Rhinolophus ferrumequinum: one gene and its partners. The protein of the gene in region 1 purifies or fractionates together with the protein of each later gene. This does not show direct contact. Links are inferred from orthologs where the notes say so. Each region holds a gene or a part of one and is shown in the gene's direction. Other genes may lie near its edges. The genes, in order: PDS5A, SMC1A, WAPL and CDCA5.

The links.
Region 2: the proteins of PDS5A (region 1) and SMC1A purify together in Homo sapiens (co-immunoprecipitation; 8 studies listed by BioGRID and IntAct, with this or other methods). This does not show direct contact. The link is inferred for Rhinolophus ferrumequinum from reciprocal best matches to the Homo sapiens genes PDS5A and SMC1A.
Region 3: the proteins of PDS5A (region 1) and WAPL purify together in Homo sapiens (affinity purification with mass spectrometry; 6 studies listed by BioGRID and IntAct, with this or other methods). This does not show direct contact. The link is inferred for Rhinolophus ferrumequinum from reciprocal best matches to the Homo sapiens genes PDS5A and WAPL.
Region 4: the proteins of PDS5A (region 1) and CDCA5 purify together in Homo sapiens (affinity purification with mass spectrometry; 4 studies listed by BioGRID and IntAct, with this or other methods). This does not show direct contact. The link is inferred for Rhinolophus ferrumequinum from reciprocal best matches to the Homo sapiens genes PDS5A and CDCA5.

What each region holds. Positions count from the first base shown.
Region 1 is NC_046288.1:14,335,885-14,343,366, forward strand, and holds the start of PDS5A (sister chromatid cohesion protein PDS5 homolog A), read left to right. Parts: upstream 1-4,472; 5' UTR 4,473-4,613; intron 4,614-4,704; exon of another isoform or gene 4,705-4,835; intron 4,836-5,481; 5' UTR 5,482-5,521; coding exon 5,522-5,662; intron 5,663-7,482. UniProt on the Homo sapiens protein: Probable regulator of sister chromatid cohesion in mitosis which may stabilize cohesin complex association with chromatin. May couple sister chromatid cohesion during mitosis to DNA replication.
Region 2 is NC_046284.1:82,385,108-82,392,914, forward strand, and holds the start of SMC1A (structural maintenance of chromosomes protein 1A), read left to right. Parts: upstream 1-4,801; 5' UTR 4,802-4,882; coding exon 4,883-4,991; intron 4,992-7,807. UniProt on the Homo sapiens protein: Involved in chromosome cohesion during cell cycle and in DNA repair. Central component of cohesin complex. The cohesin complex is required for the cohesion of sister chromatids after DNA replication.
Region 3 is NC_046299.1:61,528,873-61,536,164, reverse strand, and holds the start of WAPL (wings apart-like protein homolog), read left to right. Parts: upstream 1-4,284; 5' UTR 4,285-4,725; intron 4,726-7,292. UniProt on the Homo sapiens protein: Regulator of sister chromatid cohesion in mitosis which negatively regulates cohesin association with chromatin. Involved in both sister chromatid cohesion during interphase and sister-chromatid resolution during early stages of mitosis.
Region 4 is NC_046294.1:6,519,002-6,525,824, forward strand, and holds the start of CDCA5 (sororin), read left to right. Parts: upstream 1-3,811; 5' UTR 3,812-3,977; coding exon 3,978-4,023; intron 4,024-4,257; coding exon 4,258-4,349; intron 4,350-4,427; coding exon 4,428-4,493; intron 4,494-4,572; coding exon 4,573-4,608; intron 4,609-6,823. Other genes in the region: ZFPL1 (zinc finger protein-like 1), read right to left, coding at 1-158, 669-792, 1,030-1,176, 1,250-1,322, 1,419-1,612, 2,745-2,856, 3,162-3,263. UniProt on the Homo sapiens protein: Regulator of sister chromatid cohesion in mitosis stabilizing cohesin complex association with chromatin. May antagonize the action of WAPL which stimulates cohesin dissociation from chromatin.

The sequences.
Region 1 (7,482 bases):
CATCCCTCATTGGTCCGTGGATTGCCCTCATTCATTCATTCATTCATTCATTCATATGTTCATTAATATAATTAATACAAAGAACACATGTGAACCACCACTCTGCCTAACAATAAAGATTTAATAAGAATGTATCTACCTTTGCACTTATTCTCTCATCTTGTTCCCCTATGTTGCCTGCTTCCCCTGTACTCCAGGGGTAATCACTGCCCGGAGTCTTGCTTTTGGATTTTGTAAACAGGTTATCACATTATGTCACTAAGGTTTACCCATGTTGCTTGTACCTGTAGTTTCTTTCATATTTGAAAATATTGCGTTGTGGTTTGCGGTCCCTGCTTGTTAAATAATACTCAATTTTGATGAAACAACTCAAAGAAAGCTAATACAGCTAATGAGGTGGGTCACACTTCACACTTTAAATTGAAGATGTTCATGGAGACTAAGATATTAGACAAAATTCAAATAAAATCTTTAAATTACTATGACAAACAAGTTAATCCTAACGTCTTGGTCATACTAGACCAAAATGATTCAGACAGCTGTGAAACATGTCAAACTCATTTCATTCACTACAGATAGATATGCTATTATCCTATGCCTAAATATATTTAACAAATCTAAGCTGTCGGTGGTATCTGAAAAGACACTAAAATAAAGTACCATTTTTTTAGTTTCATAGTGATTATGACATATTGTTAAAATTTATCTGTGACGGAGATACATGGATGATTCATATTTATAATTTGTAAAATTATTCGGGATAGATTTAGCAAATTACATTTCAAATTGAAAATCAAGTAATTTCAGATAAATAGAATAAACACATTTTTAAAAACTGCTTTAAATATTTTTGCAATTTTATAATTTGGTTATATTTTTGTCTTAGTTCACTTTCACTATAAATGACTTTAGTTTTGTATTACTCCAATTCATCCTTTTAAAATATCGCTGTGCTAAATAGCTACAGCATTCAGTATGAACACAGTTTGTCTTCTACCCTCAACTTCTCTCAATCACTCCTACAAACTATACTCTAGAACTGCATTGTCCAATACAGTAGTCACTAGCCAGATGTGGCTGTTTAGATTTCAAAATTAAATTAATTAAAATGTGGCTAGCGGCTACTGTATTGAACAATGCAGGTATGGAACATTTCTACTGTTGCAGAAATTTCTATTGGACAGAACTGCCTTAGAGTTTGGATCTAGAATTTCTCTACAGAATTTGTGGTTAGTAGTATGGTTGATATAGGGGTATAAGGATTTATCCTAAAGGTGCATTAGATGTCATTTTGTATGTAGACTGTATGCTTGTATTTGTGTATATTGGGAGGGGTGCTGACTGAAATTATGTGGGGTAGAATAAGACTCACGAAGCTACTCTTTTCTTCAATTTGTTCTAACTATACCACCCTACCCTGCCCGAAAATTACACTTAATTACCTCCATCCCCGCCCCTTTGTGTTTTATTCTTTTCCTTGTGCCATTTTCCACCTTGTGCTTATCTCTATTAGCTATTGCCCTCTCACAACTACTCACCACGATTACTCACCATTCAAGGCCCAGCCTCAAATGCTCCTCAAATGCTCACCACGATTACTCACCATTCAAGGCCCAGCTTCAAATGCTCCTCTTTGGAAAGCTACCATAGCACTCCTTTCCTAGGCTCATAGACCATGTAGTTCAAAGCTCTATTATAGAATATATCACAGCCTTGCCTCGAATTATCGTTCATTGTGTCTCTGATTCCTCTAATAGATTCTGATCCTGTTAATGGCAGGGACTTTGTCTTCTTTGCTTTTTAAATATTTCCCCCGTGCCTACCATAGTACAATGCATTTACCCACTGCAGCAGTTCAGTAACCGTTTAAATTGACTTTTAAATAGCTTAGATGTCTAAAAGACATCCTGACCCTAAATCTGCTCCAAGCATACTCGAAGTGCTCCCCTTAGTTAATGTTATATTAATAGTTACTTTATCCTAGTTACTAAGGTCTAAAACTCTGGAGTCCTCTTTAATTTCTTGACTCTACTCTTTTTCTTAAATCGTTTTCATCACCTCCACTGTTAGTTATTACCTTGTTCTTATTACTATCTCTCCTTGGGATTTTTGCAGTTGTCTATGCTTAGTTACCTTACTTCTACACTTGCATTTCTACATTATTTTCAACCCAGCAGCTAGAGTGATTCTTTCATTATATATATATATATATATATATATATATATATATATATATATATATATATATATATATATAAATTAGTAGAGCTCAGTATGTGCCAGTTACTATTCTAAGCAATTTACAAATGTTCACTTATTTATTCCTCATAATGACCCTCTGAAATAAAAAACTATTATCCCTGTTTTACAGATGAAAATGAGTATCCCTGTTTTACATAGAAAAATGAAGTAATTTGTGCAAGGTTGCTCGTTCATAGAACATAAATCATACCACGTCACTTCTCTGTTTAAAACACTCCAATAATTCCCCATTTCAGTCAGAGTACAAACCAAAGGACAAAGGTCCAAAAGGCTATATTGGATCTGCATCACCCTTCTTCTCTATTTTCCTCTATAACAATTTATTTATTTGTTTGTTTGTTTGTTTGTTTTTCTCTCCCCCCCAAATTAAGCTCCAACAAGGCAGGCAGGAATTTTGTCCCCTTCCCCACTACCAATTTTTTTTCTCGGTGACCAAAACAATGCCTTAAAATAATTGTTGGTCCTCTTAAAATAATTGATGCACAAATGATTGTATCTCATTTACTGTAAGTGGAAAGAAATGTTTAAGAAAGGAAGTAAAAACAGGAATTTTAGAATTCCTGAATTATAGAATATATAAGTTTATGTGTTGTAATCCCTAGGGCTTACTATCTTTTGAGTTCATAAAGTCAAACAATATTAACAAAATAATAAATAAAATTAAAATTTATGGGCATATACAAAATTCCATTTAATAATGGGTAAAATTACTTAGAGAAAGAATGAAAATGAAAAGCATCAATCACTCTTTAGGTATTTAAATGTGACAGATAAAAAAACACTGCGAGAGGGAGAGCCTAAAGAGCCACTCTTGAATGGATTCTGCCTGCTACTCTAACTGCCCAAGAACAAAGCACAGACTTTCAGGCAGAGTTCTAGTAAATCAGCAACTGTGGCACGTTAGATTCCAAGCGATTGGAATCTCCCTTGTGTAATACCTGAAAAACAATTCATGAGTGCAGTACCTCTAATATTTTTAAGATTAAGGAAAGGATGTGGAAAAGACCAAGGGATACCCATCAAGAATAATTTAAATGAATAATCGCATATCATTTTAAACTTGTGATAGTAGTCAGTTTCAAGAGCTGAATGCTATTTCATACTATTGTGGGTTGTTGTTTTTTTTAAGTTCGTCTTCTGAAGCACCAATGTGCTTCTGAGGTTCACTTGTTCAACTTTTTACATTAAACTGCTCAAACCCACTACATTGGGTTTTCCTCTAGATGAAGGAAAAAGTTATTCTTCGGTATATCTAAAATACTTCTTTTTAAAATGAGTTCTTCCATATTCACACGAACCATCTAGCTAATTTGTAAACATTCTTATTTCTGGGTCCCACGGTTTGGGAGTGGATGGAGCCCAGGAACTTACTTTTCAGACCATTCTTTGAGAACCACTCGACTCTGCTATTTTTGTATTTTGCAGCTTTCAAAATATTCATTCTAGAAATCTAAAGAGGAAAGGGCTAACTCCGGTGGCTGTCAGAAAGAACAAGAATAAGCGGCCCACGTTGTGCCATGTCGCAAAACTTTTCCTCCGTCTGCAGATCTTCTGTCCCTAGGGAGGAAATCAGTCCATTTTCACCGAGTAATTAACCATCTTTCAACCAGTTCCGTCCACGTCCTTCAGGATAACTCCCAAAAGTCATGAACTCATTTCCGCGGCTTAAGGTACAGTATCCTGAGTACCCTCACAGGGCCTCCGGGACCGGGTTCGCTTCCCGCCGCCTCTGCTCGCCTTTTGGGTCTCGTCCTCCCCGTAGCGCTCGGCGCGGCAGGTCTTGGCGCCAACCGGGTGGCGGCGCTGTCTGCCCCACGCGCGGCAGCCTCGGGCCCGAGGGAGGCGGAGGCACGGCCGGCGGAGGAAGGGGCGGGAGCGAGGCGCGCGCCCTGCTCTCGCGTGCTCTCGCACCGCTCGCGTGACCGGCCGGTGGGTACGCGAGGCGTCGGCTCCCTGGGGCACGGACGGCGGGGCGCGCGCCGCTGCTAGGGGCGTCCGGGTCCGGGTCGGCGGACCCGGCCGGCGCGAGGTGCGAGGAGGCGGGCCGCGGGGACCCGGGGGGACTCGAGCGCACACGCTCCCGGAGGAGCCTCCGCCGAGGCTGCTCTTCCTCAGCCAGACGGAGAGCGGCAGTGTCTCCCCGCCCAGCACACACTAGCCCCGCGTCTCCCCCCGCGGCGGCTGCTCCTCCTCGGCACCGCCAGCCCCAGCGCCGCTCCGGGGCGGGCGGCGGCGGCGGCGGCGGGACCGGCGGAGCCGCTTTGTGTGCAGCCCGACGAGGGGCGGCGGCGCAACCACCTGACAGAGGCCCGGGCGTTCGATGCACCTTCTGTCCGCATGAGGAGGAGGAGGTAAAGGCGGTGGCGGCGGCAGCTCGGCTCCCGCCCTCGGCTGGTGGAGGGAGGGGACGGAAGGGGAGATCGGAGGCGGGGGGGGGGGGCGCGGGACCGAAGCTCGGCAGGGCTGCCCGGAGGTGCCGGTAAGGCCTCGGCGGCGCGGGACGGCACCGAGTCGCCGGGGGCGAGAGAAGCCGCTGGGGTCCCTTAGCCGAAGTTGAAGGAACAAAATGTGAAGTGCGGAGCCGCGTCAGCCGCTTCCTGGCGTGGGGTTTAGGGTGGAGGGTGGCTTGTTTTCCCCTCCCGTAGGGGTGGGGGAGCGGGACAGGGGAGGGGCGGGAGCGTGGCGGGGACGCCCGGGGTCCCGAAGCTCGGCCCGGCAAGGGCGTTCGTTCTCGGGAGCCGCCGGTGCGTGTGGGTCCGGTCTGATCGCTAGTTTTGCGGCCTAAGCCGAGCACTATAGGCCTCGTGTCTCTTTTCCCTGAGGGGACCGGCCCGGCGGAGACTCGGGGCTTCTCTCTGACGGAGCGGGGGGCTTGTGGGTCTCGCCGGACTCCCCAGGCCTCCAAACTTCGGACCTCGGTGCTTGGGGGTGGATTTCATTGTGAAAGGCGGAATGGGAAACTCCTGGCGCTGCTCTGCGCTTCCCGCGGCCGCAGCGCCTGGTGCCAGAAAGCCCCGTGGGCCCGGGACTAGCCGGGCCCGCGTGTGTAGGGGAAGCCGCTAGGGTCCATACCCCGGGAAGGAGCGGGTGGCGGGGCCGCCGCCGAATCCCCGGCCTTCCGGGAGAAAAGGCCCTTTGCAGATTAGAGATTTTTTGAAATGAAAAAAGAGGTTACAAAGTCGCCCCTTTCCCGCTGAACTTTTGTTTTCTGACCGATAGAGGCCGGTAGAGGACTGTGAAAGAAAAGTTGTCCCCCAGGATGGACTTCTCCACCGCGCAGCCCAAGCCTGCAACTGCCCTCTGTGGCGTCGTGAGTGCAGACGGGAAGATTGCTTACCCTCCGGGGGTAAAGGAGATCACCGACAAGATCACCACCGACGAAATGATCAAACGACTGAAGGTAAGCGTCTGGACAGAATGTCCACACTTCAGACGGGTGTGGTAAGAGGTGCTGTCTCCTGTGGTATTACTCCACTGCGAGGCCTGGCCTTTAGAATTTAATCCTACCAGGCCTTTTTTTTTTTTTTAGATATTTTATCGCCTTCTCTTTTACCCTCTCTGAAAAGTATTCTGTCTCGGCTGTATCTTTGAATAATAAGTTCTGTGGGGACATAATCATTATGGGAAATTAGAAGGGTGTGTGTGTGTGTGTGTGTGTGTGTGTGTGTGTTTTAATCTTACTGTTTTTCAAGAATTCAACTTTTAAAGTTTTTTTGTAGAAATATTTATGAAAATATTTATGTTCAAAGTAGCTTGCAACCTTAAATGTAGGTAATAATTTGCCTAGGAAGTCCTGTTTTCATCATCTGAGGAGACTTGATTTAAGCCCAAAAGGTAGTCTTTAAATTGTCACAATTTTCTAATATCCAGAAACTTAAATGTGTCTAAGTATGGTTAGACTTTGATAGAAGGTACTGACTTCAAAATTCAGGCTTAAAGTAAGATGATGTTTTAGGTCCATATGTTCCAAAGGGTTTTAAAAGAGAGTATGATGGCTCTTTTTATAAGGAGTCAGCTTATTTAGTTTATTAGGTCAAGGTTGTAAATTTCAGCATTATGTTGGTCAATTTTTTGTGGCCACAGCCTTAAAAAAAAAATAAATGCATTCTTGGGTGCAGCCAGTTAGCTCAGTTGGTTAGAGCACGTGCTTTTAACAAGGTTGCAGGTTGGATATCCACAAGGGCCACTGTGAGCTGTGCCCTCCACAACTGGATTGAAACAACTACTTGACTTGGAGCTGATGGGTCCTGGAAAAACACACTTAAAATAAAAGTTTAAAAAAAAAAGAAAGAAATGCATTCTTAGTAAGGGATTAACTTGATACAGTGCTCCTCAACCGGGGCATCTTTGACCCCCAAAGGATATTTCCCAGTGCTGAAGACATTTCGCTGTCACAGTTGGGGCTAGGTTGGAGAAGGGAAAGGCTGGAAGCAGCGAGTCCAGCTAGGAACTGTTAATAATAGTCTAGGGGAAAGATGCTGAAATCTTGAGGTAGGTCAATGATTGTGGGAGTAAAGTGATAGAGGATGATCTAAGAGACAATTCAGAGTTAGAATCAGACTTGGTGGGAGGTGAGGGAAGAAACAATGTTGACAGTGTTTCTACCTTGAGCAACTTGGTGAAAATGTAGTTTTAGGGAATGATGTTGCCCCTTTGCTCTTAGAGCTTAGTATAGTGTGCCTAGTAAATGTTTACAGTGTCGTGAGTGCTTGTGAATATTTAAAATATTCTTGTAGTTTAAGATCTATTTATTTATTGCCTCTTTGGAAGGAATAGGACAAAACTTTTCATTGAAATCTTGATACCAAAGATTTTACATGAAGTGAGGTGCTTAATTGATGCTTCTTAAGGTTATATTGAGTGTTTTGAGATGCTGAAAAATTATGAAATTAAAAACTGTTAAGAAAAAAATTTATGGATCTTTTTTATTGTTATCATATTAAAGATATTGAAACCTTGAATTCTAGTGATGGATAAGCTGGTTTAAAAAAAGTTGCAACTATATATACATTTTCCACTTGAAAGTAGATTAAATATCAGAAATGCTGTCAACCATAAATGGACATAGAACCAAGTCTAGAATGAGCATTGGGTTAGAATATCCATTTGGTATGAGTTCTTTTGTAAGTTGACATTGTCATATATATTAACCAATTTAAATGTCCTGCTGTTAAAATTTTGCTATTCTCAAGAATTCTTAAGATTTTGCCTTTCTCCCTC
Region 2 (7,807 bases), on another chromosome or scaffold:
AGCCACAGCCAAAAACACTTTTGCAAACATAAATCTGATCATATTTCTCACCGGCTTAAAACCCTCTCTACTGGCTTCCCACGCCCTTAGAATCAGATCCAAACTCCTGACTGTGGGCTTTCAAGATCTGGTCCCTGCACACGTCTGGAATTGATCTCATGTGGCCGGCTTCCTCGCTGACAGTGCTCCAGGCACACTGACCTCCATCACGTCCTCCAATGAAACAACTGTTCCCACCTCCGCCTTTATACACTGCCATTCTTTTGTTTGCAACACCATTCCTCAACTCTTCTTCTAGCTAGTTGCAATCTTTTTTGAAAAACCATTTTGTAACTATGAAATATTAGAATATACAAGGTGTGATCAAACAATATGGTGAATGTTTAAATTAAAAATTTATTACAGTGAAAGACACGTTGCCATTAATCCCCCTCAAAATACTCCTCCTCGCTTCGAACACACTTATCCCCTCGTTCTTGCCACTTTCTGAAGCAGTTCTGGAAGTCTCCTTTCATGTCTTTACTTCATCCTCCATCATGACAATGCTCCATGTCACACATCACTTCTGGTATATGGCAATTTCTGTCAAAAACATTACAGTGTGTCCTCTTCCACCTTACTCACCGTATCTGGCACTGTGCGACTTCTGGCTCTTCCCCAAAGTCAAAATGACCATGAAAGGAAAACGTTTTGAATCGATTCAGGACATTGAGGCAGTCACGACAGCTCAACTAAAGACACTCAATGAAAGAGGACTTCCAGAACTGCTTCAGAAAGTGGCAAGAATGATGGGATAAGTGTGTTCGAAGCGAGGGGGAGTATTTTGAGGGGGATTAAGGGCAATGTGTCTTTTACTGTAACACATTTTTTCAAATTTAAACATTCACTATATTGTTTGATCATACCTCGTATTTGTGGAGTTCTTACTGTCAGACACTCCTTGAAGCACTGGGAGACACCAAGCAGCATAAGTGATAAAAATCTGAGTCTTTGTGGATGTTACTTTCTAGTGGGGGCAGATATACAATAAAGAGTACATTAAATAGTTTGTAAGATGATAAATGCTATGGGAAAAATATAGAACAGGATAAGGGGAACTGGAAGTGCCAAGGAAATGGGGGTGCAATTTTAAATATTGAAGTCAGTGGAGGCATAACTGAGAAGGTAATATTTAAGCGAATATTTAAAGAAGGTGAGGGAGTCACCTATGCAGATATCTAGGAGGAGAGTACTCCAAGCAAAGGGAACAGAAAGTGCTAAGGCCTGATGGTGGACATGAGGGGCACACATTCAGCATGTGGCAAGCGTGTGAGTGGAGGAGAGGTAGGTAGGAAATGACATTAGAGAGATGACAGAGGGGACAGAGAATGTAGGACTTTGCAGACCACTGTAAGGGCTGTGGCTTTTACTCTGAGAGAAATGGGCGGCCATTGGAGGGTTTTGAGCAGCGGGAAGGACGTGTTCTGCCTTTGATTTCTGAAGGATCACTCTAGCTGCTGTGTGAAGAATAGACTGGAGGTACGGGAGGCAGGGCTAGACGCAGGGAGACCAGACAGGAGGCTGTCACAGTTGTCCAGACAGGAGATGATAGAGACACACCAGGTTGGTAACAGCAGAGGTGGTGAGAAGTGGTTAGATTCTGAAGGCAGAGCCGACAGGACTTCCTGATGGGTTGCATGTATGGTGTGAGAGCAGTATCAAGAATAACTTCAAGGATTTGGGCCTCAGCAATCCGAGGGATGCACTTATTATCAACTGAACAGTCTGTGTGGGCAGATGGGATGTATGGGATGGGGGGAGGGTCAGGAGATCAGTTTTGGACTGCTGAGTTTGAGAGTCTAATAGATGTCCATCAATCACATACAAACGGTATGATACATTTTATTATTGTTCAAAAAGATTTGCTGCTCCTGTCTACAGGAACATTCTACGTCCTTATCTCATTGCCCTCGAGGTTAGCCATGACGTTTGCTTTGCCCTGTCCAGTGTGAGAATTGACACGTGCCATTCCTAAGCAGAACTACGGGCTGTTAGGTGAGAGCCACTTTTTGTCTTTACTCTCTGCTATGAGACTGGTGATGTCCCAGGTAAGGGCTGCTCCTTCAGCTTAGGTCCTGGGATGATGACACAGCAGAGATGCAGCCAGCCCACAATGGACAAGGGGGAGCGAGCAATACATTTTTGTTTTTATAAGCTGCAGAGATTTGGGGGTTGTTTATCACCTTCGCATCATTTAACCAATCCTGACTGATACAAAGGAATTTAAAGCTCTAAGGCTATAAGAGATCTCTAAGGGAGCGCATGTAAATGGGTAACAGTGTCCCAGGGGGAGATGACGAGAGGAGGACCTAGCACTGGAGGCTCAGGAGAACTGGCCAGGGAGGTGGGAGAATAACCAGGAGAGTCAGAGAAGCCAAGTGAAGAAAGTGCTTTTGGGAGGAGACAGTGAGCAACTGATGACAGGTTAAGAGGAGGACTGAGAAGTGATTTACTAACATGAGGATTGCTGATGACCTTGACCAGAACATTCTTGGGGGGGGGTTATGGGGCCAAAAGCCTGACTGAAGTGGGTTCAACAGAGACTAGGACTCTGTGGCACAAACTCAGTGTATTTTTTTGTAATTGCAAGAGAAAAAGAGAGAGGAGGAACCTGTAGATTAAAAGAGACATATATACAGGTGGGAAGGTTTCTCTAGCCTACACCTAGGAGTGTAAGTGCTGGATCATAACACTTAAAGCGTATTTAACTTTACAAGATAATGTTAACTTGTTTTCCAAGGACACTGTACCAGTTTACACCTTGACGATAGTGTATAAAAACTTGTTACTTCACATCTTCACCAACACTTCGTATTGCAGACTTTTTGATTTTTGCCAATGTGTGGGTGTAAAATTATAATAACCAATTTTAATTGGAATTTTCCATATCACTAATGAGGTTGCATATCTTTTCATGTGTGTTTTGGCCATTTTTGTTTACTCTTCTGTGAAGTGCCCATTCATATCTTTTGTTCTTTTTTTAAAAAATCAGGTTGTTTTTCTTATTAATCTTAGGAGTTCCTTATGCATTCTACACACTAACCATTTCTTAGTTTATATGTGGCAAACGTTTCCAATTTGTGTCTGGTCTTTTCACTTTATTATTATTTGATAATAGTTTTTATTATTTAAGAATCCCTTGAGGTCATATAGTCTCCTGTATATTCTTCTAAAATTCTAAAGTTTACCTTTCTCATTTAAGTTTTTAATCCATTTGGAATTGCATTTTGTGTATGGTATGAGAGGCAGTGATTCAATTTGATTCTTCCCCCCAAGCTCCAGCTCATCTTTTAAAATGAAACAATAGTTCACGTCAGATTGCTGTCCTTTGGCCATTTTACTCCTCAGCTTGACCATGACTGTTCCTCCCAGTTGAACTTCATTTATGGCTCTTCTCTACTAGAGTCTATCAACCAAACTTGCTCACTTTCCTGGACTTGTCCTACAACTTTAAGACTCTTTTCAGCCTCTGGACATCATTTAAACAATAGTTACAGGAATGGCTATGGCAACCACCAGACCCTTTCCATGTCTAAGTCTAAGCACCAACTCCAGCCTACTCATTCCATTTGTCACCACAATATAAGGTCACTGAAGGGGAAGACTCAGCAGACATTTTAAACTTCTTGGACTGCTAAGGCCATGGCCATGGTAATGAGCAGGTATAAGGTGATACGGCGATGAGGCGACGAAGGGGAGGGATAAAAAAGATTGGGAACAGAGAGAGGAAAGGGACAGAGAGAGCAGAGTGAGGGGGCAGAGAAGGAAAGAAGGAGAGCAACAGGGCGGTTGGTGGGTGTGGAGGACAGAGGGCAGAGAGAGAAGAGGAAGGGGAAAGCAAGGGATGGGGCAGAGGGGGATGGAGAGGAGGGAATGGCATGGAGGTGAGGCACGAAGAGAGAGATAGATAAAGGGGGGAGAAGAGAAGAAGGATAAAGGTGGAGAACACTGGGTTAGGGACCTTGACTCCTAAGGGTTCACACAAAATACCTTTCTTATCAAGGCGTCCCAATTTTGAAGCTCCTAGGTGGGGTCTAGGTTCAAATAGCCAACAAGTGGCTCAGGTCCAAGTCTGTTCTTGGGCTACAGCGTCAGTCTCTGAACTCTGCTTGGAAGAAAAGGAGGGAGGCAGGGGACAGGGGTAGCACCTCTGGCCACGGCTTTCCCCAGCCCTATCCCTGTGGCTCGAGTACCCTCGTAGCTCTTAACACCCCATCCCCCTTCACACTCCATCCCACCTCTAACTCCACCCCACTCCGCCTCCAACCCCGAGCCATAGTAGGATCTGAGCCCATCTAACACCGAATCCTCCCGCTGGCCCCTCCTTCCTGTACAGCCTCCGGCTCCCCGCTCCCCGGGGTCCTTCCAGTACCCCACTCTATTCTTGTCTGAGCCTTCTGGCCCGCCAGGCTAAAGCCGAACTCCCACCTTCCTCTCGCCCTGCAGGGCATAACCCTGTAGTGACTTCAGACTTGTGTTAGCAAGAGTGAACTCTGTCTGCTTTTTCAGATCCTGAAAGCTGTTCAGTCTCCCGCACCGCTGCCTCTGCAATTCTCTCAGTAGTGGCGGCGCTCTGCGTTGCCAAGCAACAAGAAAGGGAGGCGGGGCCAAACGCTCGTCGTAGGCTCGCTCCTTGGCAACGGATCAACAAACCTGCGCGTCAGCCCGAAGGCCCCGCCCCTAGCTCCCGCCCACGGGAAGCTGGGAATCCCGTTCGACCTGCACTTATTCTCGCGACGTTTGGGGTCCGCCCGGCCTGCATTGCGGTGTTTCCCGCGCAGGCTACCTCGGTTCCTCGGCGCACGGCGCGGCCATTCGTACCGCCGCCGGCGCCGTAGCCGTCATGGGCTTCCTGAAATTGATTGAGATCGAGAACTTTAAGTCGTACAAGGGTCGACAGATTATCGGACCATTTCAGAGGTTCACCGCCATCATTGGACCCAATGGCTCTGGTAAGATAAACCCGGCTGCGGCCATGGGCACGTCCCGGACCCCCTATCCAGCAGCAGAGTAGTACAGCCCAGCCCGTGCCACTTGAAATGTCGGGAACCCTAACAGGTTCCTTGCCGCTCCTCAGGGGGTTCGGCCCAAACCTGCTTTCCCGGTTCAGGAGCTCTGACTTGAACCTTTTCCCCAGGTGTCAGTTGGCCGCTCTTCGCGCGGCCCCCGCTCCGGCCCCAGTGGTACGCCCCGGATTCTATATTCCCCCGCCCTCTGCCCCCTCCCGCCAAAAGTGGCGGTCCCGAGCCCGCTGCCAGCTAGCTGGATTCCCCGCCTTGTAAGAACCCTCCGGAAGATGTGGGACTGCTGGTAGCCCTCCCGTGACCTCCGGTCTCAAACGGTACACTTACCCGTCCCGCTTCGCATTGGTACGCTCCAATTCCTCCTCCTCTTTTTTTTTTTTAAACTCTTTTTCGGAGGCGGCACTTTTGAATTTGAGACCCAGCGCTCGCGTCTCGACCCTCCACCCCGTCCCCATTTTAGAGGTGGGGATGCCTCGAACTCGCCCCTTTGCTACCACTGAAACCGTTAAAACTCGGAACTTATTCGCTCACCAAATTTGTTGAATGCTTACTGTTTTATAAGGAATTTATTCAAGGTGCTGTGGAAATAGCGGAAAATAGAATAAGCCTTGCTCCCAGGGAATTTACATTCCAGATGGGAAAGACAATAATAAAGGAGAAAATAGAATAATTTTCGGTTGTGATAACTGCTGTGCAGGAAATAACACAGGTTGATGTGATAGAGTGACGTGGATGGTGTCTTTGGAAAGAGTGGTCCGTAGTTAACAGTACTGTGTTATATATTTGAGAGTTGCTAAGAGAGTAGATTTTAAAAGTTTTCATCACAAGGAAAAAATGTTAACTATGTGAGGTGATGGATGTTAACTAATTGCGGTGATCATTTTGCAATTTATATAAATGTGGAATCATAATGGTATACACCTGAAACTAATATGTCATGTCAGTTCTGTTTCAGTGAAACTGGGAAAAAAAGAAAGGGTGGTTAGATAAGGCCTCTGTTACATATCTGAACTTCCCATCTCTAAACGATACACCATGGATTCCTCCCATCTACCCCCACGAGTGTTTGTTTGGAATCCTGCTGTGCTTCACCCCAGAGTTGTTCTAGCTAAATCATTTCCTAGCCTGAGGGGAGCTGCCCTTGCTGAAGTAGCTCTAACTGACAGCCTTGCCTGGAGTCTTGCCCCGGTTTGGCTCGGTTGAGCAGGGTTTCTCAACCCCGGCCTTACTGACATTTCCAGCGAGATAATTCTTTGTTAAGGGGTCGGTCCTGTGTATTGTAGGATGTTTAGCGGCATCCTCGGCTACTACCCACTACTGACAGTACTACCCCTACCCCCCAGGTGTTACAACCAAAAATGTCTCCAGACATTTTACCAAATGTCCCCTGAAGGGGGCGGGAAATCATCCCCTCCCAACCTTGTTTGAGAACCACTGGCCTGGAGGGCTAATACTTGGGGTCCCACTCCAGTTTCTTAGTATTTTGGTGTGGGGGAAAGAGCCAGGATGCACCTCTTGGCATTAGTCCCCTCATTGTATAGCCCCCTCAGCTGCTCCAAAAGGCTCTTGGTCTGACTGTCCTCCTCGCCCCCCCACGCCCCCCATTCTTCAGTGCCCACCTCCACAAGGCATTCCTTGATTCCTCTCAGGCACACAGTAGACACTTGATACACTTGAACATTTGGTTTCTCCTGTCTCGTATTCATGGCATGTTTTTGTATCTTCATCACTGGTCTGTGCTATGAATGCCCCAAAGAAGACATTCCTTAAAACTGTATCACTGTTCATTCAGCTCATAATACATGTTATTAAAAATGTTTACAATATTGAGTGATTGTGAGTAGGGAGGCCTTGGGTTGTGAGATATTCTTACTGTTCCTGGAGAGCATGGGACAAGCCCAAAGGTTGGAAATGGGTGCCTAAAAGGCTGACTCCGGGTCTGCATGATGTGCTAGTCCTGCTGTGATGAGGGAGACAGCTGAGTCTAGAACTGTTGTTAGGATAGGGCTACTGTTTTTTTGAGCACCTACTGTATGTCAAGTACTTTATTTATTGGGACCTTTTACATTTAAATTCTCACAATAACCCTAGAAGGGAGATCCCGTTATCCTTGTTTTATACTTGAGGAGACTGAGGCACAGAGTTGTGATGACTTGCATACTGGTTCTCAGAGCCAGAATCGGAACCCATGTCTGTTACACTTGCAAGCTTTTGCTCTTGCCACTCTAACAGACAACTATGTGCCAAGCATCGTTTTAGATGCTTCACCTATGAGTCATGCTTTTTCACATTTTTCAGGTGAGGGAATAGAAGGTTAGCTAAGGAGTAGTGAAACTAAGGTTATACAACCTGGTCTATTGGACTAGACCCCGAGCTCTTAATCTGTCTTGTGCTGCCTCCATGGAAGGACCTGGGCTACCGTTTTTATAGCTGAGTAGATCGGTGTTGGAAATCAGATCCAAAGTTCACTGTCATATAACATAGTTGGGGAGAATCTTGAGATAGAATTTATAGAGATTAAACTATTCCCCACCTCCAGTCCCAGTCCAGATTTTTTAAAATGTTTTTTTCCTGAGTCTAAAACGAAGAAAGTAAAAACTGTCACTCTTAATGTTAACAATTTTATGTATTTGAATAGCTAATCAATGCATATGGTATAAAATTCAAAAAAATACCAAAGGCTATAATACAGTTAAAAGAAGACTCCATTTCTTCCCTGGTTTGTTACCTACTATTACACTGTT
Region 3 (7,292 bases), on another chromosome or scaffold:
CCATCCCTGTCCTCATAGTGTTTATATTAGAGTGGAAGAAAACAAATGATAAGCAATATGTAAAACACACAGATGACAACTATAGAGAAAGATGACAGGGAAAAGAGCTACGAAGGCTGGGATGGCGAGGTAAGGAGCTGAGCTTTAGTAGCACGGTCAGGGTAGGCACTGCTGAGGAGACACTAGAGTGAAGACCTGAGAGGTGAGGGAGCGAGTCATGTGCATACTCACATCTCCAGGACTAGTGGAGGGAGCATCACCTACAAAGGCCCTGAGGCAGGAGCTGGTTGGGCACGTTCTAGCAGTAGACAGAAGCAGGCTTGGCATTGTGGGAAGGGATCGGAGCAGGCAGGGGCCAGATCATGCAGGACCTTGTAGGCCACAATAGGGATTCTGGATTTTAGTTTTGGTGATGGGAAGCTGCAGGAGGGTTATTGTTTTGGGGGGGAAAAGGGTGAAAAACCTGGGGTGAAGAGGGCTGTTTCAAGAGAAGAGTCAGGTAGCCAGACCTTTAGAGGTTGCTGGGTACCAATCCTCGTCAGGCAACATGTCCCCAGGGAATTTCTCTAGCTTTGTCTTTGAATTACCCAGACAGCAGTTTATTTCCCAAAGGGTATCACCATCTCTGGAGAACATATTCCAATTATCCTGGAAAACAAGGTAATTGGGATTATAGTAGTATTCATTTTCTCAATGCTCAAGATAAAAACTGATCCAAAGCAAAAACAAAAGGTAACTCCAGAAAGCACGCCCCTCTCCATTGGGAGGACCATCAACAATTTATGGAGCCACAGGTTATATGAAACTATTGTTAAGTTTCAAGGCACTGATAAATGCCCTGATAATTTTTTTCCTCCACATAAATGCCCTGGAGAAAAATAAAGTAGGAATAAGGAGCATTTGGGAGTGGGGTATTACTATTTAAAATAGGCTGGTCAGGGGGAGTTTAATTGAATAGTCACATCTGCCCAGTCTGCGCAGAGTTGGGGAGTGTCAGAGAGGAAGGGCCAGGGCCTGGCCCACATCTTGTAGGGTGTTCTAACACAACCACTACAGGGTCCAGTGTATGATTTGTAACTTTATTCCACAACCTATGACAAGGAAAACTTTTCTGTGGCCAATGTGGTAATTTCTGACTTTTAGTTCTCTGAACTGAATTTTATAAGTTGTACTATGTTTTACTACACATTATCAGTAAAAGACTAAACAGCTCTAATTAGTAATTCCAGTCTGACAGTTTCCATGGGTGTGCTAGAACAAAGTCACAGTAATGGCAATAACATATTTCTATTAGTTTTCTTTGCAGGATTTTCTTTTTTCGGCTAAAGCAAAGCATGAGTCCACCTAAGTGGAACTCAGGGTCATGGGAATCTTCCCTCCTGTAGGCAGCATACAGGAGGACAGCCTAGTGTCAGAGGGTACAAGCTTGGCTCAGATCCAGGATTTCAGTTTCCGGTATGATATTTAAAGGGGAAAAATATCAGACATCTGAGAGCTTGCATAGAGGCATTCTAGCAAAGAAAACACCCACTGGATACCTGGTGTGTGTGTGTATGTGAAGCTGATTCGAATGAAGTGAACCAATCTAGGTGGCAGAGTATAAATTGAGAGAACTAAGAAAACGAGCAATAAAATAAAAATAAAGCAAAAAGCTATTTGCCTATGTGTTATCCATCTGGAGTCCAGTTCGCTCACTCTGGTGTGGAACTCAGGGCCATGGCAAGGGAATGGGGTGGGCCCTTTGGGGCCTTTGCTTGGCCACACTGGAACCGAAGATGTAAAGGGTAAAGATGATGGTACAGCCTGCAGGCCCAGGGTCTGGACTTCCTCCAGGAGGGCCTCTAGAGTAGGCAGGCCGTTTTGGGTGTGGGGCACAGGAGGGTGGGAGCCCTACCACAGCTCTGCTCAGTATTCACATACTAAGCTTCCATATACTTTAATACACAATGTTTTACTTTTTAAAGCATGTACCATTTTTCTCCCAGATTCAAGAATACCTACAATAATGGAAATCTAATGTTTAATAAAAAGTTTGATTCCCTCATTAGTTGAGTGAATGCCGCCCTCTCCATTTCCTCACCTGTAAAATATGAACAACAGGCAAGGATGCAAATGAAGGGCCCGATGCACAGTAGGTGCTTACGGCTCTCCTTTTCCCCTCATCCAAATGAAAACTATCAGGTTGCTGGCAAATGCTACATATACTTCAGATCGGTGCTTGTCAACCTTTAAAGTGTGGACTAATCACCTGGGGGAATCCTCTGAGAGCGCAGATTCTGATTCTGTGGAGTTGGGGTGGGGTAGGGGTGCCACATTCCCAACAAGCTCCCAGGTCAAGCCTATGCTGCTGACTGGCAAGAATCTAACACTACTAAATTCCATTACTTTATACAACTACCCAACAAAAAGGGGCTCCACAGATTGTCTATTTCTTTAAAGAAAAAAGTCTTCCACTTTGGCTTAGTGCAGTCACTGTCCCAGCCCCGTGCCCAGCACTAGCCAAGCCAGGGCACAGTGAATCCATCCTTTGGTCTTGGAGGGTTCACAGCACTCTGCTACAGGAAGATCTTGAAATTGTCTCTCCACCACTTTTGGCTTTTTGATCTTAGCTTTTGCCTCTGATGATAATTATTCCTTAATTAGCACCCACCACTGTGTCATTTAAATAATTATAGTAAGAGCAGCTTGCACCTCTGCCGGCAATCTTCAAACAGATAAAACAAGATCCTATGCTGATTTAAAAAAAAAGACAAAACTGACCCAAATAAAACAGTTATGTGCACACCACCTCCAGTGGAATACACAGGTCTGTTATAACTTCCATTCATATCAGCTACTTAAGAGTTGATTTATTTTGAATCAAAGAAAGTTCCGATAGAGTATTTGGGAAATTGTAAATGTCAGAATATTAATTTTGCAAGCAGTGGCGCTAAAGTAAAACAATTCAACCACACTAAGATCCGCCTTGAATTCCTATTGGGAAGGGCTGCAGGATGTCTGAACTATTTTTTCTTTATTCAGAGTTTTTGGAGGAGCTTGGTAACTTCTGGGTGCCATCAAAGCAAATAATCCATTGCTTTTCACTGAAAGCAATCAGTAGTTTTCTAATTTCCCCGGTTGGATCTCCATTAACCGCCCACCAAACAGGGCCATCGGAGCCCGATGAGTCATGCACCTCTTTACCGAGATGCCGATCGCGCTCCTCTTTACAACGCCGTTTTCCCACTGCAGCCTTAAAAAAGCAAAATAAAATTAACCCCCCCCAAACTTTCTCCTTTTTTGAAAAGGTAATACACTGACCCGAAAAAACCTTAAATGGCACAAAAAAGTGTACAGCGAAAAATGAAAACTCCTCCCATTGTCTCCCACCTCCCTGTCCTCCGCAGAGGCAATCACTGGTTCATTTCTTCAAACTTTTTATTATGGAAAATTTCAGATATACAAGTAACAGAGACTGAAATAATGCGCCCATGTGTACGCATCCCGCTGGCTTGTTTGATTCTTCCTCCTTTAGTTTTTATAGGAGTTAAAGTAAATTCCAGACATCACATTATTTTGTAAAAACTTTAGAACATCTTTTTTTTTTTTAAACATAACCACATTGCCGTTATCACACCCAACAAGGTTAACGATAATTCCTCAATACCATCTATATCTTCGTTCACTTTTAACGGGTGCGGGGCAGACGGAGGGAGAACTACGAAGGTTAAGGACGGATGAGTTGGAGGGGGCGCATTAAAGAGCCGCGGCCCACATCTCTCCTGGCTGCGGCAGTCAGGTATCCAGCGCCCTGGGCCTCCCCGTTCCCGCTGTCGTTACCTGCGCCGAGCCAGCACCGGCCAGGCCGGGTCGAGGGCGGCTTCGAGCCGCGAGCTCCCCGCTCCCGGGAGGCGGTTCCAACAGGCCCGGCGCAGCTGCACAACCCACCGTCCCCAGACACCGGCGGTTCCCTGGAGGGGAAACGATTGACACAGCTGCCTGCACTGCGCCCCCGACCCTCCCCCGCGACACCTGCGTCTCCCAGCGGGGTCAGGAGCTGGCTCCCGAGCCCGGGGAAGCCAAGGCCTCGGGACCCGCTGCGCCCGTCTCCCGCTCCCGCTCGGGACTCTCAGCACCGGCGACCTCGCGGACCGGGACTACAACTCCCGTCGGGCCCCGCGGCCGGGCCAATGGCGGGCGCCGGAGCATGCGGGGCGCGGCGCCTGCGCGGCGGTTTGAGTAAACGGCCGTGTGATTGGCTGCGGGGTCGGGCGGCCGCGCGGGGCCTGTGGGAAGCGGAGTGACGGAGCGAGCGGCTGTTGGAGGAAGGAGGTGGGGGCCGGGAGCGCAAATGGCGTTGAGATGGTTCAGGGCCCTCTTCAAACTCCAGCGCTGACCATTCACCGGCGGAAGCGGCGGCGCAGGAGACGGCGGCGGCCCAGCGGGGGCACGTAGCGGACTCCACTACCGGCTCCGGTGGCCAGGGAGGCCTAGGCCCAGGCCCGGCTGGCGGCGCTCAAGGCGGGGAGGGAAGTTGCGGTGCTGCCGCTCCTCCCCCCGCTTCCACTGGGTTCCTATTTACCGCGATCGGAGTCGCGGGTTCTGACCGTGGCGGTGCCCCTTGCGTCTCTTTGCGCACCAGCCGGCTCTGTCCTCCTGCGCGGGACTCCGGCACCCGCCCGTGGGCCTTTGGGGGCGGGAGAGGCGGAGGCGGCCCGAGGCCAAAGCACCCGCCAGGCGCCGAGGGTAAGTGAGGTCTCGGGCGGCTGCCTAGGCCCGGAGCGAGCCAGTGAGAGTGGGGGAGGCAGGGGTCTGGCAGGGGGTGATGGAAGAAGTCTCGCTATCTCACCTACCCGGCCTCTAAGGAAGTTGGGCAGCGGAACGACCTGAAGAACTCTTTTTTTTCCCCCTCTCTTTTATTTGTCCTTTTTTTGAGTTCTTTTTGGGAGGCTGCTGATTTACTTTCCTCCCCAAGCGCGGTCGAGTGTGTTCGTTTCAGCCCCAAATCCTTCGCCGTCTTTTCCTCGGCCCCTGGCCGTCTCCGAGGCCTTACACTGCCCTGGGGATTCGGTGGCAGAGGCTTCCGGGGCGTCGGAAGCAACATCCCTTTCCTGGGCGGTGGGGGCGGGGAGGAGAAAAGTTGCGTGAGCTTCCAGCCATAGGGGGGCCGCTTCTCCCGCTACCCCTTGGCGCACCGACCGCCCGCAGGTGAGGATTTCTGGGTGGTTAATTTTGCCTATTCCGGCTTTCATTCCTAAGCCCTTGGGGAGCCGAAAGACTCGAGATTTGGACGGGGGTTAAAGTGTGAGGACTTTTTATCCCATTGCACTTTCCCTGAAAATTCGACCTGGGCTAACGAAAAGGCCCAGCGATCGCAAAGACTTAATGTTAAATCATTCTTCCCTTCATAGTTAGTATGATAGTCTTTGGAAGGGGAAGCCTGAGCTAGCCTTATGTACTTGAAATATTCTTATAATGTCAAGTATGTCCACACACTTAGTTTTGAATTTTTACGTACTTGACACTAACTCTAGGCTTAGATAATGCCATCACAATAATCTGTCTAGTGACTTTAAAAAAAAGGCATTATAGAAAACTAAAGGAAATCAAAAGCAAGGGGATGTTATGTAATGAACTCCATGTATGTACTCATCTTAGATTGAACAGTTATTAACTCTTCACTAAATTTTTCTCGTTTCCATGCTTTACATTCCACACTCCTTGAAGTTAGAGAATCGTTGGCATTATTTCATCAGTATTTCAGCATATATTTGTAAAAGATATGAACTCTTAAAAAACAACCATGATTTTGTTATCATTTAAAATAATTAACTTCGTAATACCAAATATTCACCTGCAGACTTCCAACTTGGGACAGTGAATGCTTTGTGGTTCTAGGACTGTTTTGCAATGAGTTTTTCTGATGTGGGCCTAACGGAGTTGAAGTCTAGATTTTTGGTTTGGCATTTAGTCAGCATTTTTAGGTCATTACGGTGTAAGTGTGTCCAAATCGTCCCACCTTTGTTGGTGTATGTAAACGTAGATCAGTAGATCAGGACTTTACATTCTTAGAGAAATGAAACGAAATCACTTTATTCTGTAGCTTTGTTTTGTTTGTTATACTTAAGAAAGACAATAAGATTCTTAGTGTAAATCTACAGTAGAAGGGGAAATAAATCTCCCTTAGGAAAATGTTTTGTGACATGTTAAATGGTCTTCAAACAAACTACATACTCTTAATGCACATGTGTATGATGACTAAATTATTTTGTCAAATTAGCATTGGCTTCTAACCAAATACGAAAGGGGAAAATTTTCTACTGAATATACATAAAACTAAATTTATAGTGATTCACTATAGATTGCAAGAATTTAAGTTAATAAAGGGAAAACATTTATAAATCAAAACATATTCAAATGTGTAAGTCAATTACTACTCCAGTTGTATTGTAAATTTCAAAGTATGAAGATTTTTTTCAAGCCCCTAGGCAATTGTTTTTCTAGTTACTTTTAATATATTGATATTTAAACTTTAGAAGGTCAAAGTGTAAGAAATGGATACGAATTGATAGTGTTTAAAAAGTGCTGTAATTAGTTTTTAAAAATGTTTGACTTTTGATTTTTGTCCTGAAAATTTTTTTTGTCCTAGAATTTTTATTAATATGTAGATAAAGCAGATGAATCTTTTATGAATGGAGAGGAAAATAAAGTTAAATGTTTCTGTTGCTTATTTTAGTAATCCATGTACCACTGTAATATGCTGGGGTTCAACAGCTCCAGAAAATGTAATTTCAGCAAATGAGCACAGTATTATAGGGACAAAGAAGGTAAATTAAATGGTTTCTTGTGCTAGGGAGATGACCAACTAAGGAATATTTTTCAAATCACACTTCAAATTACATTAGACCAAGAATCAGAATCTTTAAGTTTGGGTTAAAAGCTGCAGGTTAAATGCATGAGGAAATAGCACAGTTTTCCCAAGCCCTTATTAATAAGTACTCTGAAATTTCAAAGAATTAAATTTTGACAATTTGATATTTCTGAGATCCTGCAAAATGTGAAATTTTGTGCTTAAGATTTTTACATTAGGGATTGATTACCCTATTAACATTATTTTTAAACATAAAAGTGATGTTTATGAGAATAGTAAATAGTTTCATTTGAAACATTTAAAAACTTGATGTTCCAGTATAAGTTGGTTTTGTATATGCTGTATTGAGTTGGTTAGTCTTATTTTGTAAGCAGCATATGAATATATGCTCATTGTTTAAAAAGTGACATGGAAGTATTTAGAGTAAAAAATGAGCCCCTCT
Region 4 (6,823 bases), on another chromosome or scaffold:
TCATGAGTGGGTCCAGGTTGGGGTCACTGTCAGCTGCAGCCCGGCCCAGGCGAGACATGAGGACAAGGAGGGCCAAGAAGCCCAGCAGCCCCAGCAGCAGCAGCAGCCCCGCCCGCTGGAGCAGGGTCAGAGGCCGCTTACGAGACCCGGCCCGGCTCCTGGGGGGACGAGGGGAAAGTCAGATCAGGCCCCCAATCCCTGGGGGCCCCGCGGCCTGGCGAGGAGCCCTCATCACGATACTCGTCTTCTGGCCCCAGCACCACCATCAAGCCTCATTTCCTCAAGTGAGCCATGGGGACGAACATCCCTGGCCCTGGCCACTACAAGGGTGACCGTGCCGCTCAAACCAACTGAGGCACCGACTGTTCTGGAAACCGGAAGGTGTCAGACATGGGGACAGTTACAAAGATCGGGTGGTGGCAAAGCAGGAAGGGGCCTCAAAGAGCCCGAGTTGAAACCTCGTATGTAGCAGCTGAGGAACAGCCCTGGAGACGGCAGACCCAAGAGTTCTATTGCCAAGCAGAGACCTTTCTATTCAGCCCCAACACCGGGGCCCGATATTACCCAGGGACAAGCCTCTTTTGTCATGAAATTGTCGTGCCCGGGGACCGGCTCTCACTTCCCTTCCTCCCCCTTCCTGGCATCCTGCCCCACCTGACCCTGTGTACCTGAGCAGCTGGGCCAGCCAGCCCAGTGCAGGACGGCGACGGTACTTGTCATCGTCGTAATCCCCGTGGAGGCCTGGTGTCCGGTCATCGTCCCGCGTGTCATACACCTTCCTCGGGGCCGAGGCTGCAGGGGCAGAGCCATTAGCATACACCGGCTCGGGGAAACTGGCCCACAGCAGGGGGAGTGGGGACGGCAGGAGATCCTTGCCTTTCTCGGCCTGACAGTAAATCTCAGAATCGTAGAGCGGTAACGTCTGCGCTTAGAGTGAGGAAGGGTCCCTCCAGATGGGTCTCTGGACCCGAGCTCCCTTCACCCCACCCCTTTTCTATCCTCCTCTGGCCTAGACAATCCCCTGCTCACCATGAGTCATGGGCTCGGACCCGCTCATGTGGATCACCGTGTGTTGCTCAGGCCGGCTTGGGGAAGCAGGGGGCCGAGGGGCTTGGTTGTAGTAGGCTGGGGCAGCAGAAGCACTGGCTCTCTCTTCTTGTTCAGCGGTACCATTGGCTGTGGCACGAAGAGAGCCGTCAGCAGGGCAGGGAGGCAAGGGCCCCAACAGCAGGCGGAGACTGCCACTCACCATTAAAGCTGGACCAGTCAGAGAAGTCGGAGGTGTTGAGGGGCTCAGGCTCCGGGCTCACCACCTCATCAATCTGAAGGAAGGAACCTGTGTCACCAGCCTGCCCAGTGCTCTCCCCACCCACCCATCTGGCCCAGGTGGAACCCTAGACAGACAGAGGGACTCTCACCAGAGGAAGGCCCAATCCTGCCCGGGCCCAGTTGACGGTGGCCAGCTTCTCTCTCAGCGCGGAGGCCACGGGGCCAGCCAGGTTAGTTGGGGGGAAGATGGGGCCACTGCAGCTGGGGCACTGGTAGCCAGCAGGCGCTGTATTTTGGGGCAGCTGGGCAGCACGTTCATTGAGGCAGGCCCAGTGGAAGAGATCTTAGGGCCCATGAAATAGCAGAGGAGGGGCATGAGGAAGAAGACACTTTGTACCCCTAGCCCAGCAACAGCCCCTAGCCCACTGCAGGAACATATGCACACACACATAGAAGCCCAGGGCCACCTCCTTCCCATACTCGCCCCAGGTCCATTTCGTCAGTGTGCCCTCGGCCCTATTGGCTACCACCATCTGACTGAATCAAAGCAGATGCTACACAGCCTACCAGGAAGTGGGGATGGGTGGAAAGATGATGCCGTAAGCTCCTTGATTAGCTAACAGTTAATCAAGAACAATTTCAGAAGAGCTTCCTAGACATACACACAGGCACATATATGCCTCTACACCTCCATGGGCACACATACCTGTGCTTATATACACATAACCAAACAAGTGCCATCCCTGCATCTATCTTACAGGCACACTAACTCTCACACATACACATCTACACACTCACTTGTGTGCTAACACTCAAGCACCCTCACCCACACACTCTTCTGCAACCCCACGACACACCTGTATTCTTATGTTCACACGCAACATTTACCCATTCACTCACCCACAAGTACTAATGAACTCACTAACACTTATGTAAAGACACAAAGCACATTAAATTCATGCACGTATAGCCATGCACTCACACTAAGAAACACCTACGTGGAGCTCACTCTTTTGCACTAGCTTCTCCAAAAAAGGGAGCTAAAGCTCGTACACAACGTCAAGGTCATGACACATGTCTGCCGACTGCTTTTAGCTGACTCTACTATGGGAAACTCGCTTCCTTTCTGTTTAATCCTGGAATCAGTAATGGATCCTGAATGTCTGAAAGGCCCATGCCAGTCTGGCCAGCTCACAGCCTCAACCACGCCCACAAGTTTGACTGCCTCTTGCTCAACCCTTGAGATTGGAGGGAAGAAACTAGGAACTTTCATTTTTAAGGAGACATTGAGGCCTAGAAAGGAAAAATGACTTGCCTGAGCTTACAGAGCAGGTTAAGTAACCCAGCAGGATTAGAATCTGGGGCTCCAGCCTTCATGGCTTAGAGGGGTCTCACTGTCCTGCTACTTAGGGAGGGCTAGGAAACTAGTCACCAGGCTGGGCCTATCCTGATCCCCCCAGGTGCCCAGGCCTCACCATAGCAGACAAGGCGGGTCGTCTCCCGAGTGGCCAGGGGTATGTTGCACAGGCGGCAATTGGGGTTGTAGTCGCTATCTTGGAGCCACTGCAGGTAAGACTGTACGATGCACTGGAGTGGGAGAGAGAGGTCACAACTGGAGCTGGGCTCCACAGCCCAGTTCCCTAAGGCCCAACTGCCTCTTTATCTCTCATCACAGAGGAGACTTATCCTTTCGTTTGTTCAATCAATAAACATTTATTGAGCACATACTGTGTGCCACACTGTCTTAAGAGGATATAGGAGTGAACAAAATAAACCAAGTCCTTGCCCTCGTGGAGCTTCCATTCTAGCGCCAGGACCTTCATGGATTTGGAGGATGCCAATACCACTTGCCCTCCCAGTGCCCTGCTCAGCCGCTCCCCTGAAGGCCCCACCTTGGCGTGATTGGCTACCAGGCAGTGCTCGCAGACGTTGACCCGGTGTTCGAAGCAGAACAAGTTGGTCACCTTCCTCTTGGGGCACTTGCAAAGCCCCATGGTCGACCCTGGAGAAGAGTTGGTAGGGAGCTAGGTTCTGGTGGCCGCTACGCACTCACCAGCCCAGTTCGTTTCCATTTTTAACTCCCCTAGACACTCTCACGTTCGCCGGAGCCCCAACTTCCTGCCCACCGCCCCTCTTCATTCCGGACCACGCTCCCGGCATAAACCCCGCCTCCGAAGACCACTCTTTCCTCCTGGATCCCGCCCCCGGCCAGGCCCCTCCATCAGCGTCTCTCCGATACCACCGGCCCCGCCTCCAGGGGCCCCTCCTGAGTCCCACCCCTCGAAGCCCCGCCCCCACTTTCTCCACAGACCCCCTCTCCGTGTTACTGATCCACTCGGGCACGGGTCCCGACAGACGCGCGCTGGTCCAACACACGGAAGGACAGACACCGCGCTCCGCGGACCTCCAGCTCAGCTCTTTCCAGTTCGGGCCGCTCCTATTATGCCCCGGCTGCCACGTCTCTTCCGGGTGCGGCGCGCGCCGATGACGCCAGCGCGCCCCTGGCCCCACCCCGGCTGACGGTACACTTGAGACCGGTGAGGAAGAGGCGACCCAAGTACCGCGGCCCTCCCGCCTTACGCAATTTCCGCTTCCTCCTGGGTAGGGCGGGTAATCCGAACGTTTTTGCTTCAGAAAGGCCCTCGGGTTGGCGCGAGCCCGGGAGGCGGCGGCGGCGGCGGCGGCGGCAATCCAAACGAAGGCTAGACATGTCGGAGAGGCGAACGCGGTCTGGAGGGGCCTCTCAGCGCTCTGGTGAGGGGAGGGCGCGCGGGAGAGACGGGGCCGAGCTGTTTGAGGGTTGCAGTCCCATGACGAAGGCCCTCCCCGTACCGCCCTACGATGGATGACCCACGGCCCACCTTCCGCCCCGAGAAGGCTCCCCCAAAGTGCCTCTTGGGGGACCTTTTCTCACTGTCTCCAGAACCTGTGTTCCAGACCTTGAGGTCCAGAGCCCTCCCCTACCTCCTAACTTTTTTCTCTTTCCAGGACCAAACACCCCATCTTATCAGTCTCTGCGGAGGTCCCAGCGGAAATCAGGCTCCGATCTCCCCAGCACCCTCCCTAACATCTGGCCGAAGGTGAGCCCGGGGTTCCTCAGTTCCTACCCTAGAGGTCTCTGGACTCACGTAGAGCTCATGGTCACCCCTCTTCTCCAGGCACCCCCGGTGGCTCCAGTCAAAAAGCCCATCGTCTTGAAGAAGATCGTGGCCCATAGTGTAAAGGTGAGGACTGAGAGAGAGCTTGTGGGTGGGAACCACAATTAGGGGCCGGCTCTGTGATCAATAAGTGTTGTCTCCACAGGTCCCATCCATCCGCTCGCCTCGAAGGAGCCCTAGGGTGAGTTCATTTTCATTTGTTTTGTTAAGTAGAATCCAGGACATTCTGGAGCTGGGACAGACTGTAGAGGCTGGGACAGACTATAGTGGCCCACATTGTTTGCTCAGGAAGCTGTTTCGCAGTATTTTGAAACAGTTTGCCCTTGGACACCTGCAGGCATTGCCAACCTTGCTTACTCCTTATAGACTTAATATGTTTAGCTCTTGATGGTATGTTCAAGAGATGGTACGTTCTACCATTTTCCTTTAAACGTTAACTGTGTCCTAACTTTCTTTCTGCTCCATCTTGTCTGCAGTTTTTTTTTTTTTTTTTTAACTTTATTTATTTAAGTGTTTTTCCAGGACCCATCAGCTCCAAGTCAAGTAGTTTCAATCTAGTTGTGGAGGGTGCAGCTCACAGTGGCGCATGTGGGAATTGAACTGGCAACCTTGTTAAGAGCGCCGCGCTCTAACTGAGCCAAACGACCGCCCTTTGTCCTCAGTTTTTATTTACGGTTGTTGTAATATGAGTTATGTGTATGATGGCTTTGCAGTTTTAGCAGAAGTCAAGATGTTTCATTAAAATCTGTGCCTGAGGATATAATGAATGAGAAATGCCAACTGTTTTTGAGGAGCTCATGGGGCTTACAGTCGAGTGGGAAGAAAGACAAATGAACAGGTGATAACATAGTATGCTGAGGACTGCAATACAGAAAGAACTAGATGGTATGAAGGCACCTAACCCAGACCAGGTGGCTCAGGGAACATTTCATAGAAGAAGAAATATTTAAAATGAGTCTTTAATCTTTATAGACAAGTAGGAGTGTCTGTAAAGGAAGCTGTATTTGCAGAGATCTGGATTCCACACACACATTGAAAAAACAAGGTTTGGGGAGCAACAGCTTCCTTTCTTGGTATGTCTGCAGCAGACCTTGATAGAGGAGGGCGCGTGCTAAGCCAGAACAGAATAGATCCTGATGAGGCATGAAAGCTGTGTTTGAGACCTTGGGTTTCATCCTTGGCACTGCGGGCAGCTTTTGGAGAGTCTTAAGCAAGGTAGTGACTGAGTTAAACTTTGGTGTTTGAGAAAGCTCCCTCTTGGGGGTGGGGGTGGGGGGAGCTGGGTGGAGAATCGGCTGGAAAAAGACTGCCAGGGGTTCCAAGACCAAGTAGGAAGACTTGACAGGAATCCTGAAGTGACATGATGGGGGCCTAAAGTAAGGTGATGGCAAAGTGATGCTCCTCCCCCTGGCTCACCACATGACTGTCCTATCACACAGGACTCAGCTCAGTGGAGACCTCCTCCCGGAAGCCTTCCCTGACCACCCCTATCCAGTCACTGTCACATTTCTTAATGTAATTCTTAGGACTTATCAATGGCTCGGGGTAATTTGTTGTCTTTCTCTCCCCAGTAGGTGCCTTGAGGGCAGAGACTGCCACCTCCCCCATGGTAGTCACTCATTCTTGTTGGTTGACTAATAAATTCATGAGACAGTAAACAGAAAAGGCTGCGACGACTTGGGTGACTGCTTGGCCATAGGGAATAAGGAAGTAGTAGTCGGGTAACCGCCATGTTCAGCATCCCTTTGACGAGACGCATGGGGCATATTCTCCAGAGCTTGCAGTCGTGTCTCTTTTTGATAACCAATGGACTTCCTTCTAGCTGACTGTAAGAGTCATTGAATTTGTCTCATTTTCCTCTTGTCTGGGCTGCCAGACAGCTCAGTGCCAAGTTTCGTGTACATTAATTGGGTTTTGTGTACATTAACTTACTGAACACCTCTGCACGTGAGGCTGTGCTGAAGACGGGGGCACAGGCAGGGTCAGCCAGACAGATAACGACCCCTGCTCTCATGAAGCCCATATTCTATTGGGGGGATGACAGTCAACCAATGGACAAGCCCAAACCAGAAAGTGATGGTTGCTGTACAGGAGAGCGTTGTTGTGACAGAGAGCGACGAGCAGAGGTGAGGAGGGTCTGATCTAAACTCCACGGTAAGGGACAGCCTCCCTAAGGAAGCAGCCTCTGAGCTGAGTGGAATTATAGGGGACAGTATGTGAACCTCCTAATCCGCACGCTCTGTTCACAACCTTGCCAGGGCTCCCTGGGTCTCCCCTGACAGTGGCCTAGAAAAGGCCCTAGGATGCCCCCAATGACCTCTCATGCCCCGTCTTTAGTGCCTCTCCTTAACTTCCACTCGATTCAGGCACACGGGCCTGCTTGTTCCTAACAGGCA